Yarrowia lipolytica: one gene and its partners. The protein of the gene in region 2 interacts with the protein of the main gene of each other region in a pairwise test. Links are inferred from orthologs where the notes say so. Each region holds a gene or a part of one and is shown on either strand. Other genes may lie near its edges.

Region 1 (3,671 bases), on a different chromosome or scaffold from region 2:
ATTACAGCACCCAGGATTCTCGTATGGTCTCCCACTACAATACTAACTAGACTCTCTGGTGCTTGACTATGGCTGATCGGACGGGAAGCCGTATTTTCACCAGGATATGGCCGTAACTAGGACTCCGATACGGGGAATCGAACCCCGGTCTCCACGGTGCTCTGAATGAGAGCGTGATGTGATAGCCCCTACACTATATCGGAATATAAAAAAACTGTAATTTTTTATCCTACTTAGTGACATTAGCTTATGTAACCAACCGACAGCGCCCCGCAGCGCACATCGCAAAGATCCAGAAGTGTATGATTTATTGAACGCCAATAACCCGGCTTACTAGGTATATTGCTGTAATGAATTATTAGAAAGAAAAAAAAGTATTTCTTTAGAATATAACAAAAGAAAACTGAAAGAAGCCAAATAATAAATAAACAAGATGAAAGAAGAAAAAAAAAGCGAGAATTGTGAGCCCAAGTGAATCATCTCCACTGCTGTTTCCAAGATATATTTTTATTTGATTCAAAGTCAATCAATTAATGTACAAAATGCAATGTTACTCGGGCTCGACGTATTCGTAAGCCTGCCAGTTTTCGTCATCCTCCTCAACAATGCCTACCATTGCCAGTTGAGCTCTTCTCTCCAACTCTTCCTCAGTGATACCCTCGAAGAGTCTGCCGTAGCAGTCTCCTCCATCACCATCCTTGTCTCTCCAGTGGGCGTATGGGTCTTCCGAGCTCACTGAAGTGCCGCAAAGATAGCAGAACGCAGCCAAGCAATGTGCACACTTTATCTTGTTGCATCCATCGGCTTTTTCAATAGGCACATTGCATTGTGGACATGCAATTATGTTTGCCTCCTTCATCGCATCCTTGAAAAGTTTCTCGTCCTCCTCCATATGTTCCAATCGTCTGACATGAGTCTCAATGTTTGCCTTTCCCCATGTGAACTCGATATCCTTCTTTTCGTCTTCGTCAGCTTCGTCGATGTAGTGCTTGATGAGCGAATCTGGGGGAACGTGAATCACACAGCCTCTGTAAGTGCCATGCCATGCCTTTCTGCAGTTGACGCAAAAGGCGTACTTGCACCGGGAGCACCGAGCCATGTACTCGCCTGGTTTTCGATACACGAGTGTATCACAGTTAGTTCGAGGACAGGTAACTGAGTTTGGGTCCTTTTCTAGTCTTCTTTTGTGCACCAGTTTCTGGTATCGTTCGTAGCTCTCCTTTCCCACAATGTCCGACAGCTGTTCCGGGCTCAGAGGATCCTTGCACTCCACCTCCACACAGTGTACCATCTCGATATATCCCTGGGTAATGCAAGTGGAATAGTAGTCGGCGAGGCACGCTGTGCATGAGACGTGGGCACACGCGAGTTGTGTGCAAACGGCTCCCTTGCGAGTCTCCTGGCAGATGCTACAGGTGAAAGTCATTGTGGCAAAATGTTCCTTGTCCGCGCAGACGTCATAGTTGAGAACGTTCGACTTCAAGTTGGCGGCAAACTTGAGCGGTTGCGCTTCTCCAAAGACGGTCTCCACCTGCTCCTTGATCAGATCAACGCAAGCAAACAGGGTGGACTCGTCCTTGACCTGTTCCCACTGGTGTATTAGGTCCGTTGTCAGCTTGGCGATCTGTCCGTCAGTCATCCACAGCGACTGGAGATCGAACTGGGGCGGTTTTGTTTCCGGGTAGCCCTCTGGTAGTGCAAAAAACAGGAGCACTGGCGGCAGGTTCCTGATCTCATGTTGCGTGTCTGCATCGCCAAAAACCACCTTCACAGGCTCTTCGAAAGACGCCGTGATCTCCAGAGACCCACTCAGAGTGTCAGTGTCATACTCCAGCTCGGGGTAGATGGCGGCGAGCGTCTCCAGCTCTTCCATGGTGGCGAATGGACGAAATGATAGAGGAGTTGGGAGTGCAGGAAAGACGTGGAATGAGAGTTTGAAATTTAGACAATCGCTCCATATCATGCACCACTTCAATCAGCCGCATGAGAAGATGGAGAGCAAAAGTGCCACGAAACATGGATAGAATGAAGGGAAAAGGATGTACATCTTCTTGAATTGGTCTGATTGCGTCCTTGTTTCCATCTTTTGATTCAGTAAAACAGCTGTATCTATTTCTCTTACTTCTTGAAGTCCTCATGTTTGTTGAAAGTCTAATTAGATTTGTTGGGTTTCCTCAATAAACTTGACCATGACCAACTAATTTGGTAACTGCCGTTATTGAGCACAACAATGACAATGGAAGTCGACGGGCATGCCGTTCATTACGACCAGCTACGTGTGCTGTACTTTGTTCCTGTACAGTATGTTTGTATGTAATGATTGTATTTTATAATGGTTTTGTTACAGACGGCCCAGGAGCTCTCGCAAGCTTTCGAGCACGCCAAATGCACATTTCTATAGGCTGTTTTGTCGATGGTAAGCAGGGGGCCGAGGGGGGAGCTGAGGATGAGCCGGTTTTGAAGACGAAGATGGCTTGAAAGCTCCTGGCACTCCTGGCACTCCTGCGGGTTTTGATGAGGCGGCAGCGGCGGCAGCGGCATGGGCCTGCTTCGAAGGACCGTCTCCCATCAGATCGCTATCGTTAAACGTCCATGCAACCTCCCGTTCACTCCAGGGCATGAACTGCGACGGGTGTGGTGGGGGATCGGAGATTTTTGTGATGAGGTAGGCGGCTGAAGCTTCAGCAACTCCGTAGGTGAGCAGTCCAACGTATGGAATTCGCAGCAGCAGGAAGAAGCCAGCTCCGAATCCGAAAATGACTCCCTCACGAGCAGCAAGCCAGTGTTGTCGGTCGGTGGTGGTAAAGGGGATTCTCTTAAAGTAAGGGATAAGCAGTTCTCGCACCAACGATCGAGAGCCCCAGAAGGCCGACAGGAAGACAAGCAGCCACTTTTTGGGCACCATGAGACCCAGACCAAACACTGCTGCAGCTGCAGGAGTTCCAACCACCTGGTTGAAAGAGTAAAAGGAGGCAGAATTGATGGACAGAGAACCAAGCACAGGCACGTCCTTGATGAGGTACATGGCGAGAGTGAAGGCTGTTCTGGTAGCCATTCTGCTGAGGAAAGAAGAGAAGTCGTTTCCTGAGGACGACTTTCCGGACATGAACGACCACCATGGTCGGCCGCCCTTGCCTGTTCCATAGGCTCTAGCTTGTTCCTTGTATGTCACCAGAGGCATGTAGTACTGGGGAGGGTTCTTGAGTTCAGGGTGTTTCTTGGCGTAGGTCTGGTCTGCGTGTTGCAGAGATCGCAGGAAGATCTCGTCGATTTCGGGACGGAAGTATCGCATTCCTGCAATCACGAACGGTCCCAGGTTGAGCACGTGGTTTTGGATGAACCGCAGAGACCCCAGTGCGTCGTTGATGGTGAACCGGGCGTCTTGACCAGTAAATGCCAGTTTGGAAAGATGCAAGAACCACTTGAGCACGAGAATCGGCGACCATATCAACAGCTGGATTCCCAGCGAGTATCCCAGCATCTTCAGTGCCTTTCTGTAGTGTTCTGTTCGGAAGATATCGGGGTTCTGTAACGATCGGTACGCACCCACAAAAAACAGCTGGAAACCTCGCACAATCGCCAATGGCGAGAAATTGGGCGGTGGACGGGACAGAAAAATTGGCGACGGCATGTTTGTGTGGACCTTTGCGTAGGTGCTGAGCTGTGGTGGT
Region 2 (4,732 bases):
ACTCCGGAACCAACAATACAGCAATACCAGTAGAACCAGTAGTACCAGAGGATGGGGAACAAGTAATGGCATTGTATCAGCAAAGGTGGACTCAAGAGAATAGTGAGAATTGATAATTTCACTCTACTCGTTAATATCGACAAGTCTCGGCCTGAGCTGGACGTGAATCATTCCGAACTGGAGGAGTAGAGGTCCAGGACATGGTTTCCGTACAATGAGGGTCTCCCACGGTCCATATTCTGGAGTAATTGCAAGTTTAGGCCAAATCGGATCCATTAAAACCCTGGCAAAAGTGATGGGTGTACTCTGAACTCCATCTTATGCGTTTCAGCCTACTACTGTGGATCAGGCGAGGTTCATGTATCGAAAAGTCGGGATTTAATAGATATATAAAGTCACCGAGTTGATAGATATCTGAAATAAAACCTTTCAAGCTGTTTCTGCCATTACTTGGGTGAAAAAATTGTACCCAACTCCCTTCCACTTCACGTAAGTATTCCCCAACTAAAAACTAACAGGAAGTCCCCGCGTTGTCTGATTCAGATCATATAAAACAGGATAGTAGTTATTGGTTGCACATATTTCTTATGGTCCAGGCTATCCCCTTCACTTTCAAGCCATATTATATAATTTCTTCAGTGATATCTCCACTGATCCTTTCAGAATATATTACTTTACAATTCAACAAAGTTTGAACAAGGTCTAACAAATGCCCAACTAAACAATCACAATGCACAAGATCCAATCCAACTGCACAATTACTACACCCATATGTGCAAATGTGTTACATCTATGATCTAAATTCACTTCTTATTCACGAGTGCTCACTCCCCTATCGTTCACGTGATCCCACTCCTCATTTCTGTAAAACATGGAACGTAGACAATAATATGAAATGTCCATCTTTTTAACCGGAAAAGATATGGGAATTCAGAAACTTCCAATCAATTCCCCGTCAGTCATTTGATCTATCTTTCAACTCCCCAACCCTCCAGCTTTTCTCTGTCATAAATTATAAGTTGCCAAAAATTCACCCCAGTACAGAAATCAGACCACATCTTCCCCAGCTCGCTCAAAATCCAATCTATATTGAAACCGAGACCTTGAATCGATTCTTACTTCGTCATTCACTCACAATACCAGCTCTCATAATCCCCCTTGGGGTATGTAAATGAGTTCCATTACAATACTCAGAGGGATAAACAACATACATGTCTCTATCACCCACCAGAGATACCCAGAGAGTATCCAAACAGTACCATTCGAGTCTCAGGGCCTCATTCTCTCAACTGCTATCTTTTTATTCCATAGAATCTCTCAAATCACTCCAAATCACCCCAAATCCAACCCTCCTCAAAAATGACTACAAAACCACCCTAGCTTCTCCTGTGGATGACCCTTGACAAATCTGGAACAATAACTCGAATCCCTATACTAAAATTACTCATTTATTCAACTTGCCAGTCCCCTATCATTTCTCAAAAGCCCACAAATCGCTGACTCATCGCCATCATCATTCAAAACAAAACATCTTCCCGACTTTTCCTGTAAAAATCCCACAACAAATCGCAAAACAGAACTGAATTTGTCATACAATTCTCGCCCATCTTCACCCTGGTTCCTCACTCAAAACCAACATATATCTCCCTTTGAAAACACACCAAATCAGTGTGTCCAGGTAGCACAGCTACAGCACAGCACAGCACAGCACAGTACACACGGCAGTTACTTACGTAATGCACCCAAAAGGACACCACGAATGTCACACCGTGTCAATTGTCACGTGTCAACGGACCCGACCCAAAAAAACAAACCGCGTCCGCTTCCCCATCGACCCTCCACCTACCTCCATCTTCTCCCCCACACTCCCCAGGGCTAGGGTTAAAATTTTCACCCTGAGTTAAGGTTTGCACTTTGAAAAACCACCCAGCATAATTTTGAGAATCACCACGCAACACTCACCACGACACACACAATGAGTGATCAATTCAACCAGGACTTTGCCAACAAGGCCAACATCAACGAGGGCCAGGGCCAGGGTCAGGGCCAGGGCCAGGGCTACGCTCCTCAGCAGTTTGTGCCCGGTCAGTCGTTTGTGCCCGGCCAGGCGTTTGTTCCCGGCCAGTCTTTTGCTCCCCAGGGCGGCTACGACCAGTACGGCGGCCAGCAGGGCGGCTACCAGGGCGGCTACCAGGGTGGCTACCAGGGCAACAACTACAACCAGGGCTACCAGGGCTACCAGGGCCGAGGCGGCTATTCCGGTCGAGGTCGGGGCGGCTACCGAGGAGGATACCAGGGTGGCTACAACAACTACAACCAGTACGACAATCAGTACGGCAACTACGGCGGCTACGACAACCAGTACGGAGGGGGCTATGACCAGCCTGAGGAGCCCCAGGAGAAGACTCTCACGCTGGAGGAGTACCAGAAGCAGAAACAGGAGGCTCTCAACAAGCTCAAGAAGCCCGCTGCCAAGTCTGGCGGAGCCCTCAAGATTGGAGGCGACAAACCCAAGTCTTCCGGAGGAGCCCTCAAGATTGGAGGAGACAAGCCCAAGACTTCGGGCGGCGCTCTCAAGATTGGAGGAGACAAGCCCGCCGAGAAGAAGACCGGAGGAGTTCTCAAGATTGGCGGAGACAAGGACAAGAAGGAAGAGTCCCCTGCCCCTGCTGCCGAGAAGAAGGAGTCCACTCCTGTTGCCGAGAAGAAGGAGGCTACCCCCGCTCCTGCCTCTAAGGAGTCTACTCCGGCCCCTGAGAAGAAGGAGTCCACTCCCGCTAAGGACGACTCTGCCGCCAACGCTGCCTCTGCTGACGCCCTGATCGCCGCCCAGAACGCCGAGATCGACCAGGAAACCATCAAGGAAATGTTTGGCGAGACCAAGGACCACATGTCCATCATTTTCATGGGCCACGTCGATGTCGGCAAATCCACTCTGGGAGGCCAGATCCTCTACCTCACCGGCACCGTCAACAAGCGAACTATTGAGAAGATGGAGAAGGAGGCTGCCGACGCCGGACGACCCGGCTGGTACCTGTCTTGGGTTATGGACATCAACAAGGAGGAGCGAGCCGAGGGAAAGACCGTCGAGGTGGGCCGGTCGTACTTTGAGACCGACAAGCGACGATACACTCTGCTCGACGCCCCCGGCCACAAGATGTACGTGCCCTCCATGATTGGAGGAGCCGCTCAGGCCGATGCCGGTATTCTCGTCATCTCTGCCCGAAAGGGAGAGTACGAGACCGGCTTCGAGCGAGACGGTCAGACCCGAGAGCACGCCATGCTGGCCAAGACCCAGGGTATCAACAAGCTGGTGATTGCCATTAACAAGATGGACGACTCGACCGTCAACTGGTCCAAGGAGCGATACGACGAGTGTATCAGCAAGCTGAAGCTCTACCTCAAGGGTCTGGGCTACTCGGACAAGACGGAGATCACCTTTATGCCCGTGTCCGGTTTCACCGGCGCTAACGTCAAGGAGCGAGTCTCCAAGGAGGTGTGCCCCTGGTACGACGGCCCCTCTCTGCTGGAGCTGCTTGACTCGTTTGAGCTCGAGCGGAACCTCACCGGCCCCTTCATGCTCCCCATTTCCAACAAGGAGAAGAACCTGGGTACCATTGTGGAGGGTAAGATCGAGGTTGGCACCGTCAAGAAGGGCGACAACCTGGTCGTCATGCCCTCTAAGGTCCCCGTCGAGGTCACCACCCTTTACAAGGAGACCGAGCAGGAGGTTGGCGGCGCGTCTGTTGGAGAGCAGATCCGACTCAAGGTCAAGGGCATTGAAGAGGAGGAGGTTCAGATTGGACAGGTTCTCTGTTCTGCCGCCCAACCCGTTGCTGCCGTCACCGTCTTTGAGGCCCAGATTGCCATCACCGAGCTCAAATCGATTCTGTCGACCGGTTTCTCTTGTGTGATGCACATCCATACCGCTGCTGAGGAGGTCACCTTTACTGCTCTGCTGCACAAGCTGGAGAAGGGTACCAACCGAAAGTCCAAGAAGCCCCCGGCTTTTGCCAAGAAGGGCATGAAGATCATTGCCCGGCTCGAGACCCAGAACCCCGTCTGTATGGACGAGTTTAGCAAGACTCCCCAGCTGGGTCGGTTCACTCTGCGAGACCAGGGTCAGAGTATCGCCATTGGTCGAGTTACCAAGCTGTTGTAAGCAGCTCATCTGCGAGCGTGACGAGCCGCCGCTGCCCGTAGGTTTTTCGTGCCAGCGGTCCAATAAGGAAGAATGTAAAAATTGTGTTAGTAATGAATGTTACTGTTTTAGGAGGTTACTGTTATCAGATGGATCTGTGTAGAGTAGAATAGGCCATGGCTGGAGGCATCCAGGGTCACGTTCAGCAGTTTCAGACAAGTAAGGTGCTGTACTTCTTGATGACCCTTCATGTCCCAGGCCAACATGAATTCGGGTCATAGCGGGAGCTTTTGTACCACAAAACGTTGAATTAATGACACCAATGGAATCAGGAGGCGATTCTGAACACATTGATATGTTATTTTTATCTGGAAAGCGTCTCTCCTTGGTTGTACGTTCCTTCTGTTTCCATTGACAAATGCACCTATAGGTGGGAATTTTGTGTGGTGAGAGGGTGCGATAATGGTATAAAAGGAATCAGGGCAAGATTCTGAACAGATGGGTCAACTGTTTGCTATCTCTTACAATACTATTATTGAACTATTTCGTTAAAACTGTCCATTATACCTAGACATGCGACAGTTTTTACCT
Region 3 (3,431 bases), on a different chromosome or scaffold from region 2:
ACTCCCACCGGCGAAGAGACTGCCTCCACTACTTCGGAGCAGTCTTCTACTGCCACCCCTACCGGTGACGTTTCGTCTGCCACCCCTACCGGTGACGCTTCGTCTTCCATCCCTACTGGTGATGTCTCATCTGCCACTCCTACCGGCGATGTCTCGTCTTCCACTCCTACTGGTGACGCTTCGTCTTCCATCCCTACTGGTGACGTTTCTTCTGCCACTCCTACTGGTGACGTTTCTTCTGCCACCCCTACTGGTGACGTTTCTTCTGTCACTCCTACCGGCGATGTTTCTTCTGCCATCCCCACCGGTGAAGAGACCGTTTCCACTTCCGGTGTTGTTCCCATTTCTTCTGGTCAAGAGTCTGCTTCAACATCTACAGATTCTAACTCTGCTACCGTTTCCTCTTCTGGCCAGGAGTCTGCCACTGGTTCCACGTCCGGTGCTGTTCCTACATTTGGTGAGCAGTCGGGCATCACGTCTGGATCTACCCCTACATTCACTGGTGACAATGGTTCTACTGCCACTGTCCCCATCTCGACAGAAGGCTCTGGAATCAACTCTGGAGAACTGGACTCTGCCACCCTTGAGGTCCCCACTGCTACATCTGCAACTGGTACTGTTTCCGTTGAATCTCAGATCACATCTTCTTCTGGAGGTGGTGGAGGTCTTGCCTCTGAAGACATTCCTGGATCCGCTACTGCTACTGGCACCGCTACTGTTACTGGCCTGGTTCCTGATGTTACTGGCTCGGCAACTGCCACAGGTTTGGCTTCTGAGGATCTTTCCGGCACTATCAGCCCACTTCCTACTACCACCAACTTGTCAGGCGCCTCTCAGCCTCTCACTACCATGTCTACTTCTACACTTGGTGGCGGTGGTGCTATTGATGGTGGTTCGAACGGATCTGGCTCTGGTTCAGGCTCTGAGGGCTCCGGCTCTAGTTCAGGCTCTGAGGGCTCCGGCTCTGGTTCAGGTTCTGAGGGCTCCGGCTCTGGCTCTGGCTCTGGTTCAGGTTCTGAGGGCTCCGGCTCTGGTTCTGGCTCAGGTTCAGGTTCAGGTTCTGAGGGCTCCGGCTCCGGCTCTGGCTCTGGCTCTGGCTCTGAGGGCTCCGGCTCTGGCTCTGGCTCTGGTTCAGGTTCTGAGGGCTCCGGCTCTGGCTCTGGCTCTGGTTCAGGTTCTGAGGGCTCCGGCTCTGGCTCTGGCTCTGGTTCAGGTTCTGAGGGCTCCGGCTCTGGCTCTGGCTCTGAGGGCTCCGGCTCTGGCTCTGGCTCTGAGGGCTCCGGCTCTGGCTCCGGCTCTGAAGGTGAAGCACCTCCCCAGTCGCCTGGTGGTGAGACCCTGCCTCCCCAGGCCAACTCTGCGAAGACTTATGGTGTCTCTGCTGGTATGATGGGCATGGTTATTTTGGTTGTTCTTTTCTAAGCTAGTTAGCTAGCTATTGGTTTCTACCTCTTAAAATTGTCAATTGTTAATGAATTCTTTGTATAAAAAATCTTGTTCCTTTTATTATTATATTTATATGTACATTTATTGTACAAGTATTACTGTACTTGTAGTTGTAGTCTCCAATAAGTACAATGCCTTGCTTGATAGTTTATTGAGCTCGGTCGTAAAGACGAGTAGGGCTATGCAAGATTAAGAAGTGTACTGAACTCTATGTATTTTGAAATTCTGGGTCTCGAGGTTCTAGAAGCCCGGTACGTCAGGGACCCTCGCCTGTCTGGAGGATGGCCAAAAACACGATTTATATATTTGCTGCTCTGTTTGTGTTTCTTGGTTTTATTGCCGGTCACGTGTTATGGAAATTCACGCAGATTTTTATACACCATCAGAGTGGCTGTGCTAAAATTATTAGGCTACAGTGTACATATAATAACCCATCTCTCGGCCACTTGTACTCTTGCACTCCCACCCTTTCCACGCTACACAGCACACGCTAGCGTTTTTTTACATCACTTTTACGATGGCGGCAGTTATCAACCGAAGTGTGACTTCGCTCCACAACGAGCTGGAGTTTCTGTTTGAGTCCGAGGTGATTTCCCAGGCTCTTTATGACGATATTTGCAACAAGATCCCTCGAAAGCTGACACCTGGTCAGAAGCTGGACTTGCCTGGTTCTCAAGTTGTTGGCATTGCCGAGGTGACTGAGCGGGTTGCAGCTGTTCAAATCACCCCTGCTGCCCCCTCCCCTCCCGTTGCTGTTCATCCTGCCTCTGCTGGTTCAGGTGGCAAGGTGGAGGCTCTCTATGACTACGTCGCACAGGACCCCACCGACCTGGCTCTTGTCAAGGGCGACCAGATTGACATCATCGAGAAGCTGAACAACGACTGGTGGAAGGGCCGAGGCCCCAGTGGCAAGGAGGGAATCTTCCCTGCCAACTACGTCAAGGAACTGTCTGATACTCCCTACATGGCTCCTCCTCCCGTGAGCCGATCCCAGAGCACTGTATCGTCTGTGGCTGCGGCAAGCTCCACCACCACTCTTCCCACGGTGTCCTCTTTGGCCGTGAACGAGGAGAAGTCCGAGAAGTCGGCCTACCCTTCTTACAAGCAGCCGGACTACGCCGCTCCCGCCGCCCATTACAACCCTCCTCCTCCCACACAGTACAACCCCCCTCCCCCAGAGCAGTATGGCTACCAGGCCCCACCTCCCCCGGGATACCAGGGAGGGTACCAACCTCCTCCTCCCCAAGGCTACCAGGGCCAGCAGCAGCAGCAATACTACCAGCCCCCTCCTCCGCAGACTGTGGTTGTGGAGCAGGGCCAGCAGCATCAGGGTGGCGGAGGCCATCTCAAGAGCATTGGTTCAAAGTTTGGAAACGCAGCCATCTTTGGTGCTGGAGCTACCCTTGGTGGAGACCTCATCAATTCTATCTTTTAATCACGAAGTAACGTCATAGAGAATATATTTATTGCCTAGTCTGTTGACAGACCATTGCCAGGCTCTTAAAGTGAGCTAATTAACCATCTGGGACTCCATTCTCAATCAGAGGGAGGTTACAGACCTGCATCGATCAGGCATGAGCGAGACGTGCGGAACATGGAGATCTGAACCCTCCCGAGCTTCCTAAGTTTGGCTCGTTCTTGTGGGTCCAATCTTGAGGTAAATCGTGGGCTGTGCGACTACTTGAACTCGTACTGTACTTGTACGAAACGCGTTCGTAGGTGGAGTTGACTGACTGTTGTCATAGGAACATGGTCATGGCGTCTACTTGTACCATTGTTTGTTATTGTGTTGTATGGTCTAGTCTGTTGCTGCCTGCACACTCTTTTGATTTGGCCCCCACGCCGTCACGTCACTGTGCATAGATATACGAAGGAGTGTATTTGAGAGTCCAGAAAATGCGAAAAAGAAAAGCTGATTGATAATTCCTCGGAACTTCGCTTGGAGAAAGAGAATCCCCAATTTGAAAGCTTTACCAAGCAACTAA

The links. The genes of interacting proteins can lie anywhere in the genome.
Region 1: the proteins of YALI1_B11083g (region 2) and YALI1_C28879g interact in binary tests that used the Saccharomyces cerevisiae proteins (3 or more experiments, as listed by UniProt). The link is inferred for Yarrowia lipolytica from reciprocal best matches to the Saccharomyces cerevisiae genes SUP35 and ITT1.
Region 3: the proteins of YALI1_B11083g (region 2) and YALI1_C05423g interact in a two-hybrid assay, tested with the Saccharomyces cerevisiae proteins (2 studies listed by BioGRID). The link is inferred for Yarrowia lipolytica from reciprocal best matches to the Saccharomyces cerevisiae genes SUP35 and LSB1.

The regions. Positions count from the first base shown.
Region 1 is NC_090772.1:2,885,944-2,889,614, forward strand, and holds YALI1_C28879g (uncharacterized protein), read right to left. Parts: upstream 1,964-3,671; coding exon 551-1,963; downstream 1-550. Other genes in the region: YALI1_C28895g (uncharacterized protein), read right to left, coding at 2,396-3,631. UniProt on the Saccharomyces cerevisiae protein: E3 ubiquitin-protein ligase involved in translation quality control. Involved in the rescue of stalled ribosomes by promoting ubiquitination and degradation of proteins on stalled ribosomes.
Region 2 is NC_090771.1:1,106,403-1,111,134, forward strand, and holds YALI1_B11083g (uncharacterized protein), read left to right. Parts: upstream 1-1,975; coding exon 1,976-4,162; downstream 4,163-4,732. Other genes in the region: YALI1_B11111g (uncharacterized protein), read left to right, coding at 4,715-4,732. UniProt on the Saccharomyces cerevisiae protein: GTPase component of the eRF1-eRF3-GTP ternary complex, a ternary complex that mediates translation termination in response to the termination codons UAA, UAG and UGA.
Region 3 is NC_090772.1:540,921-544,351, reverse strand, and holds YALI1_C05423g (uncharacterized protein), read left to right. Parts: upstream 1-1,963; coding exon 1,964-2,881; downstream 2,882-3,431. Other genes in the region: YALI1_C05494g (uncharacterized protein), read left to right, coding at 1-1,422. UniProt on the Saccharomyces cerevisiae protein: Involved in resistance to EDTA.